Xenopus tropicalis: one gene and its partners. The protein of the gene in region 2 interacts with the protein of the main gene of each other region in a biochemical or structural test. Links are inferred from orthologs where the notes say so. Each region holds a gene or a part of one and is shown on either strand. Other genes may lie near its edges. The genes, in order: bcl2, bad and bcl2l2.

Region 1 (3,757 bases), on a different chromosome or scaffold from region 2:
AGAGATTTTTTCAAATCACCCCTCATTTTTTACTCTTTTCTCAACAGCTGAATTGACTTAAGTACCTTTGATTTGCTCGGAGAGAAAAGAAACCAGACACTAACTATCATTCCCTCTTACAGGCTTAACAGTGATGTATCACTCCAGGCTAGCAGTCAGTTGCCAATTTACCTAGTGTTTGGTCCCAGGCTACATTAGAACAAAAACTGAGTAGAGGAAGCTCTGTCTTTGATATCATTTAGCAAGAGTGACACTTACAGGCTTGTACAGCTGAGCTAAACTTATTAAAGTCTAATTTGACTCTTCTGAGTTTCATAGAGGCTCCATGCCTCAAGTTCATTTTGGTTCACTCGGTGCAGTCATGTGACCTTACTTGCCGTTAAATATCACAGCATAGGTCACTTTCTAGCTTCTTCACCATTAACAGATACCCTTTAAATATGCTACGCTTCCCATATCAGTCATTTTAATTCCTCCGGTTTTTCCCAAAGTATTTCATTCAAACATTAAAAGACTGCACAGCATGGTGAATCTTAAACATTAGAAACACATTGGGATACATATATATATACATGAGTATATACTTTTTAGATATAATAGGTACAGTAAAAATCATACCCATCCTCCCTGTTCCTGGATCCAATTTTGCAAGTGACTGTTTAGGTACTCTGTCATCCAACCCACAATGGAATCCACCAGAGGAGACATTTCTCGATTAACACTTTCCACGCACATGACCCCACCAAACTCGAAAAAAGCAACAATCCTTCCCCAGTTGACCCCATCATGAAAGAGCTCCTCCACTACTGTTGCAAAGCGCACCCTAACTGTGGATGGGGTTAAATGGAGGAGCCCTGAGATCTGTCTAAAATCTTGCTGATAGAGGCGAGAGAACTCATCTCCAGCTCGACTTAAGGTCTGTAGCACTGCTGGAGGGACCGGCTGCATAGCTGCTTCATCATCATCATCATCACCATCTGCTTCTCGACTGGCATCTGGGTTAACATTAAGATTTCTTGGTACAACGTTCAATTCAGCTAAGGGTGAAGCAGCAGGTGCAGACCCCCTGGGAACAGCAGGTGTATTGCCCACGAAGGTGGCTGGAGCATTACTTGGGGTTTCCTCATCTGAGGAAGCAGCAGCAGATGCGAGTGAAGATTGAGGTGGTCCACGTGAATCTGCGGAAGCAGCAGGCATTTCTCCATCATCAGAATAATTACTAATAGCAGCAGAAGCTTGAGGGTGCTCAGCAGAGACCTGCTGCCGCCCCTCTTCCCATTCATACCCCTTTTGAGACAGTTTATAATGGATATATTTTACCACTATGTCCCGGTGATCATAGCCTCCTCTCCTAGGATGAGCCATATTTGTCCACGGACTAATGGCAGGGGATTGGTGAAAAGATTATATTCGGTTATAAACCAAAATACTTCGCCCAGAACTACTCAAACAGCTCCTTTAGCTCTTATAATGTATTTGCTGTAAGCGAAAGGTCCTGCGGCAGCTCTTTCATTCTTTTGCTGTAAATATTCCTCCCCCTCTTCCTCCTTGTGGAGCTCTGTAGCTTTATTGAAATTTCCCTCCTAAAGGTGCTTTCATTGTTAGCTGCGCTTTTTCAAGGGACATTCCCTACTTGATCCTGAAACAAAAACAAATCAGCTTTAAAGCTGTGTGTGGGGTTTCCGTGTGACAAGTTTAGTGATGTGCATGAATCTAGTCTGTGAGCTGATGCACAGACATAATATGTGCATTTACATATACTAATGCGACTAGATACTCACAGCATCATGAACCCACTGTACTCCAGAACCACTAAGCACACATATATATACACCCACTTGTGTGTGCATGTTTAAATATCTTATTATAAAATGCTGCATAGAAAATAATACATCTTTTTCCCCGTGTGTATATGTTGATGTGATGTATATATTGAAACAGACATATACACATAACTTCTGTATACACAAGCAGAGAATAAGTAAGCAAGATACTCACTTGCTCTGCTGTTGGGTTTCCCTGTTCATCTGAATCCATGAAACAAGTTCCAGATATGCTGGGGTTATATTGACTTAAATCCTCAGGGGGAATTAAATGCATCAATGAAACAGTCCAAACATCGCATAAGCATCCTTGTGTAGGAAATGCTTTAGAGGCCACCCAGGCAACCCAGAAGCGCCAGTGAAAGCAAAATGCAGTTTTTTTTCCACCTCCTCTGACTGGAGATCCTGCTACAGTGTTCTGCTCACTCCCATTTATTCAGCCTCTCACACCCCACACACATATGCTGCTGCTCAGAAACGGCAAAAAAAAGTACTAATCCCTCTCATTTAATCCAGCACAGGAATAAACTCTGGCCAGTAAAAGACATTCTTGTAGATTCTTAAACACAGGAGAATATAGCAGAGGTGGTGTTTGTGTGTGATTTAGTTTCTTTTTATTGTCCTTGTTGCCTTCTTCATCTTGCCTCCGTGTAGCACACAGCGTGGCTGGCTGGAGGCGGGACACTGCTTGTCCGCTGTGCTGGGTCCTCCTGTGCTAGGACAGCACTGAAACCCTTCTACTTCTGGGCGGACTGATTTCCTCCTTTTGGTTCGTCAGTGCGCATGCCATTTAGTGTAGAGGCGGAGCGCCCTCTGCAGGTGGCGTCTCCCTACTGTGCGCTCACATTCAAACAAATGTACCCAAGCACAATTGTATTAGTATTTTTGAGATTTCTTTTCATTAATAACATAATTTCACAGCAAGATAACTTTTTATTTGTATTTTCCTTAAGTGAAACAGTGTTTCATTACTCAAAAAAGGATAGGGTGCAATAGGGGGTTTCTACTGGTTTTTCCTGCTGCTAAAACTGTTATTAAGCATTTAGGTTTGAATATTAGTCAACAGTGATGCCTTTCATTTCAAAATGATTTCTAATCCCAAAACAAGGGGTGATATTAAAGGGGAGGCTTACCTCAGTTAACTTTTAGTATGTTATAGAATATCCTATTCCTAGCAACTTTGGAATTGGTCTTCCTTATTAATTTTTTATACTTTTTGATATATTCGCATTTCTCATCTACATCTTTCCAGCTTTCAAATAGGGGTCACTGATTCCCACAGCCAAAAAATACAATTGCTCTGTGAGACTACAATGTTCTTGTAAATGTTACTTTTTATTCCTTATGGTTCTATTCAGCCCCTTTCCTATCCATATTCCAGTCCCTGTTTTAAATAACTGCCTGGTTACTAAGGTAAACAGGAACCTGGCAACCAGATAGTTGCTGAAATTCCAAACCGGAGAGCTGCTGAACACAAAAAATAAAAAATGAAAACCAGCTGCAAACTGTCTCAGAATATCATTGTCTATGTCATATTTATAGTCAATTTAAAAGTTAACAAACCCTTTAACTCCCTAAAGATGTTGGATAGAATACATTTTTAGGTATGCTACTATCTAAAAACAAAAGATTTCTGTATTGGATCATGGCCCACCACAGTAAGCATATTCTGTTAAAAAGGTAAAAGAGTAACAGCAATAAAGAAATAACTTCTAATTTGTGATAGATTAGAAGGGGTTATTTTGCTCTGTGCTCATCATGTATATACAGTAGGACCACTTTAACTTGTAACTGGCAACTGCCACAACAAATATTATTAAAATAGTTAGGCTGATAGTAGTAAATGTTTTTTTTGTTACAAACATAACAGCATCATGGTGGCACAGTAGCTGCAAAGCATACATGAGCTGTTTTTTTTTATCCATATCAACAAG
Region 2 (3,757 bases):
TTAAGGCTTTTTTTAATTCCAATGCCTCATTTGCGCTTTTAAATTCAGTGGGAACTTTTTATGAGGGTGTTTAATTTACCTAGGGAAACTATATATAGTTTATTGGCTTCTTTTTCTTCAAGGACAGCCTATGATTTTGTGAATGCTTGCGTTATTCACTTCTGTAATGAGATATAGGACTACAAGAACCTAAAAAATGAAATCATTTTTCAGACTGATGACAATGATTGTAAAATATTTGGGAAGGAACATTGATTTTTTTGGAGGATGAATCTGGATTAAAAAGAATACAGAAAGTAGCTCTTTTTTTCTAGCATACAAAATTATATTTAATAAATTAAGCATTAAAAAGCTTCATATTGCCATGCACTGGATGGGACCACATCTACTGACCATAAAATCATGGAAACAACTGGTAAACCAGGCAATCCCACTAATTAATCTTACCTCAGAAGCGAGAGGAACACAGACTAAATTTGACCTGATTTGGACCCCGTGGATTGAAGCAGGACTGGACTGAACCTACATAACATGTACTATAACCAAAGTGATATGCATATCTCTATTTGCACATAGTATGGTTGTATCACTGGCCAACCAACTAAAACTAATGTATTCTGCAAATGTTTGGCATAAATGTCTGTCTGTTGTTAATAAAATTATACCTATATAAAAAAAAGCTTCATATTAAAGTAGGAAGTACAATGACCAATCACCACACCTTTTGTTTAGTGAATACACTCACTTGTTGCACTGTGCTACAGTGTTTGGGAGAGATTGCCAAGAGAGTGGATCTTCTCCTGATATGCCCACCTATGGGGTGGGTGATATCGGGCTAATTCAGTTGTTTGGCCCTAGAGCCAAACAATGGAATTAAAACAGTGGGAATAGGCGCCTTAGGTTCGTGGACCACATTAACAAGCCAATGTGGTCCCCGATCTAACAGAAAAATCAAATCTGCCCGATCGAGATCTGGCCCGTCGTTCATGCTAATACATGGGCAAATAAGCTTCCGATTCTGTCTAAAGGATGTATGGCCACCTTTTTAGTGTTTAGTCCAACAAACAAAAAGCTAAATGATTAAAAAAGGAACTGAAAATTGTGAATATTAGTTGTAAATTGCCTCAAAATACCACTGTCTACACAAAACTAAAGGTGAATTTAAAGGTGACATCCATACTAGCAGGCATCAGGTATGATTGGCTGAACTGAGAAGGTCAAACCAGACACTGACACTTTGGTTACACAGTGATATAGGCGGAAGTGGTCAGATAGCATAATACCTTACTGACAAGGTTATAACAACACCTTGAGAACAGTACTTATATGAACCTACCAACTTCCTTGTGCGCACACCTAAGTTCCCAACTCCTTGTCAGCTGGCTATAGTGCATACTAACGGGGTGGGGCCCTTTAACGAGAGTTTAAGGTGCTGCAAATGGCACCAGCAGCCTAAACAACAGGCTCTCTGGAAAGACAGATTCTGCTATGTGTTGAAAGCTATACTAGGGAAAATAGTTTTGTCTGTTAGTGTGGAGGAAACACAGGATGCAGATGCAGCGCCGTCTCGGGCTCAGTGCCAACCTGGGGCGGCCAAGGTGATGCCAGCCCCCCCCATGTTTTGTTTTTTTTTTGCGTTGGAGAAAGTTGATGGGGGCTGAATCACTAGTGCAGAGAGCATAATAGTGATCTCTGCACTAAAATTCCGATTTTTATAAGTTACCAGGAGTCTTTTTACCACCCCTGGCAATTTGTCGGGTGCTGCCACCTAAGGTAAGTTGCTCAACTTGCCCCAAGGTAGCAGCTCTCCTGTGTCCCACTGTGACGGCAGTAAGGGCTTCCCTTGGGTGCAGTCAGATGTGTGAAAGGCTGGGCTGGAAGCCCTACTTACTCTGCTGGAGTGCTGATGAGCTCACAGTTTAATCCCTGAAGTCGCCTCAGCTGCTCCACTTGCTCAATGGAACCCTAGCAGGCGGCAGCTATAGTAAATCATGGAGACACTTCCGAGTGCTGTGGAAACATCCAGCAACATAGGGACTCCCCAGTCCATAGACCTAACACAGACTCACAGCTAAATGGCTGGTTGCAGAAATCCCAGTGTCACTGGCATGGTAGGGGTTAAATAACTCGGTTCAGAAGGAACCCTGCTTCCTATTCTCACTGTAGCTCTCTCTCCCTGTCAAGATGGCTGTCCGGCTGCTGCACAGGCTCACACTGGCTGCTGATGCCTTGTACACACACACAAAACGTCCAGGAAACTGAAGGAAGCAACTCCCAGACGGCTGCACACTGCTTCCCCCTGGATTCTGATATTATCTCTCCAGCAGCCTCTGTCTTCCAGTACTGCTTTTCTCCCTGTCCCCTTGTTTTGCTTCCTCTTCCTGTTTTTCGGCTGTGTGGGCGGGACCCTCTGAGTCCTGTACTAATGATTGGCTGGAGAATTCCCTCCATGCTGCAAGGCTAAACGTGAAGTAGTTTCTATGCAAACTGTTGTGAAAGGTAGCACTGAGCACTGAAAGCATTTCAGTGCTCAGCAACCTTACACATACAAGACATTAAGGGCAATAAATCCAACAGATAAACCTCTCATTTCCTTACACGTTGGAAAAGCACACAGACAGCTTACCTGGCTTCTGCCTCCTGATGAAATTGGGAGTAGTGTGTAGTATTTTTGATCTGACTGAGCCATGAAAAAATAATAGCTTTTTAACTGCAAATGAAGTGCTGTGCATCACTGCAGTGAATTTAGTGTGTCTGTAGTGGCATAACTAAAAGTACTTTGGGAGTTTAACATTTTTCGTATATAATCATATAGTCAGAGGACATAATGGTGCACTCCACTAACAGAGTCAGGACCTGGGTGCAAGAGCCGTATGATCAAAGTATAGTAAAAGTAATGTCAGCAATCACAGGATTTAGAATATAGGTGTAAAAAGTCAATATTTATTGAAACATAATAAAAGGAACATAGCAAACCTCAATGTTTCACATTCAAGGTACACATGCCTTTTAAGTCAGTGTCCAAATGGCCTCCAGCTTCCCTTTTAGTTATGCCCCTTTGTGTGAGACCTGTTAATGCATTAAATATTTTGGAGTTATCCTGCTCTCTGTTTACCTGGCTTAAAGCTAACCCTTGCCATGGAAAATGCACCCAAAATACTCAGCAATAGGGCAGACTACAGACAGTAGACTACAAGGAGCACAATTGGGGCGCATGGCCGTTGACATATACCTCAGTGGTGTAAATATAGAGAAAGCAGACTGCAGTCTGCTTCCTATATAGTTGCAAAGTCTTCCCTCCCCAGCCCCTCTGATACTTGCAAGCGGGATGGGAAGACTTTATAACTATATAGGAAGCAGCCTCTGAAGATATTTTTGTGGTGGTGGGACTGGTGCACACTAGATATGCCACTGATATTCTCCATTTAGGGTTGCCACGTTTCTGGAGAAAATACCAGCCTTTGCATATTTTTACCTTTCTTCTCTTATTAATTGGGATCAAGGATCAGGAAATTATGTGAATTAGACACAATAACTGTGCAGTGTAAATGTTTTGGCACTATATAAACAAAGGGTAATAATACTAAATTGTGTCCTGCAATTTGTATAACAATATTTACATCTGCAACTGTAATTATCATCAGTTTTGTGTATTGCTTACGGGCAAAGTGAAGACTGGTTAGGTTAGTTCAGCAGTCATGCTTCTTCAGTTCATCAGGCAGTGACAAGTGCTACGTGGTAGTTTAATATACACTGG
Region 3 (2,920 bases), on a different chromosome or scaffold from region 2:
GAAACCAGGACCCAATAAGCTTACAGTGCACATGCTTCTAGTTGGAAATCAAAGCTTGGGAGCCAGCACGCCGGATGTGACATGGCAGCAGCCAACTCCACTGCACTACTCTACTCTACTTTCTCAGCCCAGGTACAAGGCAAAGGGGCAGATCACAGGTAACATTAAATGTGGTGGGGGACTTTTGCAGCAGGGTGGAGCACTTTTAAAAAGAGCCTAGGGTGGGTTATATACAGTACACTGTAATATTAATTACTGTGGTGACACTGTTTCTAATGGGGTGGAAATACAGAGTTTCAGGGTAAATGTGGCTAGAAAATTTAAAAAGTGCAGCAGCCAAGAGGGGTTACACAAATAACATCTATGTATTACCATGAAAGCCAAACTGACCATCAGCCATAAAGGGGGTTACAGAGAGCTACAATTGTTCACCAAAAACATAGCACTAATTTATAGCAAGTTTCTGCTATGTATAGATAATGAGAATAATCTATGTGAAATGAATGAGAAGAGAAGTCTCCTCAGCCAGGAATCTTTAATGCACAATGAGAACTTTGCCAGACCCTTCCTTTAGTGTTCTATACAGAGGAAATACAAAACACTACCCCCTGAATTATTTCTGAAGGAGGCTGTGTTGAGTTGTGCATCCCCACCCTGTTCTCTCAGAGCTCATTCTACTTGGGTGGGTTCAACTGCCATCTCGGTCCATGTATGAAGCAGGCTCTCCTTCATCTGCATTTATGCTGAGAGATGAATGACAACACATCAGGATGTTTGGGAAGGAGAGCAGTATCTGCTCCTATCCCTGCGAAGCTAATGACACTTTGGAGACAGCAGCAAGTCCAGAAATATGAGGAATGATGATCATTATCTGGGGAAAAACCAAGGCTTTGCTAATTGATTTTGTAATCAACCTTGTTTTGGAGAGTGATAGATCACTCAAAGAAGTGTGCTGCAGCTCTCTGGAAAACATCTACCAGTGAGCTGGAGGAACACACATGCAAATTATAGATTTGCAAAAAGTCACATCTCCAATGGCAAGTGAGCCATATCAAACAGACCGCAAATCTTCTGCTCTCTGCAAATAAGTAGTTGCCTAGTCGGGCTACCAGAGAGAAGACGACTCCTACTTCGTCAGGAGTTGTATATAGCATCACAAGCCAACAGAAAAAAGTGATAAATATCAGCATCATTCACAGAATCATTGCATCCAAGCACAATGTGCACACACATTTTAAAGTTACTGCTCCCATATCCAGAGCAACAACAGAGCAACAAAAACTAAAAACAGTCACGCTGTAACAAAGACACAGTAAATATTACACATACAAGAGAACATATAAATTCTGCATAGAACAACAGGCATAAGAGAAAAGAAGTTTGGACAAAATACAAATGCTGTACAGGGAAAGCAGCACAGGCAATCAGAAACGTAAACAAATTAAGCACGCTGCACACTTAATAAGAGACTGAGGCTCGCAAATACAAAGCACGCACACACCTTCACAAATACACCAGTCAGACTATAACAAAATAAGATTAACAAATAAAGACAAACAGAGAGAGAGAGAGCTGGAACTGAAATTAACACTCATGAGCACACACACCTCCTTCGGACTGGTTGTACATGAATAAACTGTATCAGGTAATTCTTAGTGTCTATTACTTGTCTGTTTTCTAAGTCTCTATCACTTGCTGGCAAACAAGGCTCCTACTGTCATTAAAGCACCCAGAGCTACTGCTCCAGTTAAGACAGTCTTCAGTGATGCCCAATTCCCCTCACGCTGCCTCCTGGCCTCTTCTATGGCACCATCCCCATATAGAGTTAGAAATCCATTCTGAGAGAGAGAGATGACAAAACAAAGAAAGATTAATCACTACTGTGTAAGGGATTCACAGCAGTCAGGATTGTAAGAGCATGCACTGCAATGTGGAGAGGAGTTTACTTTGGTTCCAAGTGAGGAACAAAGGCAGTAAGAAGAATAATGGGGAAATATTTACCCAGCCTCCATTGCTCTGAATCCAGTCTCTCAGGTTTGTCTCCAGATATGTCACCATCCAGTCCTGAATCCGTGGCAGAAGAGGGGACATCTCCTTGTTGACACTCTCAGCACACAGTGCGGCACCAAAAACAAAAAATGCAACTATACGACCCCAATTCACCCCACCTTGGAACAGGCTACCTGCTACTTCTGCAAAGCGTGCATATGCTGTGCCAGGGGTCACATGGATCTGTGTGGAGATCTCACTGAATGCTTGTCTGAATCTCTCTTCAAATTCATCCCCTGCAGCACGCATGGCTGAATGCAAAGAACAGGATGCTGCTCCTGCAGGCTCCGGAACTAGACTACGCTGGCATAACTTGTATCGCACAAAATCCTCTACCAAAGCCCGGGATCCTAGTTCAGATTGCGCCATCCAGCCTTGCTCTGTAACAAATACATAGGGCTCATATAAGGCAAAATATCAGACATATTACTATGGTAAAATGTTTAAGAAACATTTGATTTGGATAACATAGTTGTGACTTGAAATGGATCACAGCATTGAATATGAATATCACATCCTATAAGTTTCTTAGCATTCCGAGCACAACCAGTGCTCTTCCTCAGGGACAAACCAACCCTGTTTGGTTGGTTTGTCCCTGAGGAAGAGCACTGGTTGTGCTCGAAAAGTTGGAATTTATTCAATAAAACACTTCAAGTCCCTGTGTGTGTGTGACACTCTTTTTATTATATTTATTTTTGTTTTTGACCTGCACCAAGGGTATTTGGACTTGTATAGGGTGTGCTCCTCCCTGTGTACTATATTATATATATATATATATATATATATATATATATATATATATATATATATATATATCTCACCCTGTAATGTTCAACCATCCTAATCCCAACCCTATGCAGCCATAAACCAA

Evidence for each region.
Region 1: the proteins of bad (region 2) and bcl2 form a complex in vitro, tested with the Homo sapiens proteins (5 studies listed by BioGRID and IntAct, with this or other methods). The link is inferred for Xenopus tropicalis from reciprocal best matches to the Homo sapiens genes BAD and BCL2.
Region 3: the proteins of bad (region 2) and bcl2l2 interact in a biophysical measurement, tested with the Homo sapiens proteins (4 studies listed by BioGRID and IntAct, with this or other methods). The link is inferred for Xenopus tropicalis from reciprocal best matches to the Homo sapiens genes BAD and BCL2L2.

What each region holds. Positions count from the first base shown.
Region 1 is NC_030682.2:85,817,458-85,821,214, forward strand, and holds the start of bcl2 (apoptosis regulator Bcl-2), read right to left. Parts: upstream 2,572-3,757; 5' UTR 1,999-2,571; intron 1,640-1,998; 5' UTR 1,366-1,639; coding exon 619-1,365; intron 1-618. UniProt on the Homo sapiens protein: Suppresses apoptosis in a variety of cell systems including factor-dependent lymphohematopoietic and neural cells. Regulates cell death by controlling the mitochondrial membrane permeability. Appears to function in a feedback loop system with caspases.
Region 2 is NC_030680.2:35,248,650-35,252,406, reverse strand, and holds the start of bad (bcl2-associated agonist of cell death), read right to left. Parts: upstream 2,397-3,757; 5' UTR 1,892-2,396; intron 1-1,891. UniProt on the Homo sapiens protein: Promotes cell death. Successfully competes for the binding to Bcl-X(L), Bcl-2 and Bcl-W, thereby affecting the level of heterodimerization of these proteins with BAX. Can reverse the death repressor activity of Bcl-X(L), but not that of Bcl-2.
Region 3 is NC_030677.2:139,702,279-139,705,198, reverse strand, and holds the end of bcl2l2 (bcl-2-like protein 2), read right to left. Parts: intron 2,430-2,920; 5' UTR 2,419-2,429; coding exon 2,002-2,418; intron 1,839-2,001; coding exon 1,689-1,838; 3' UTR 519-1,688; downstream 1-518. UniProt on the Homo sapiens protein: Promotes cell survival. Blocks dexamethasone-induced apoptosis. Mediates survival of postmitotic Sertoli cells by suppressing death-promoting activity of BAX.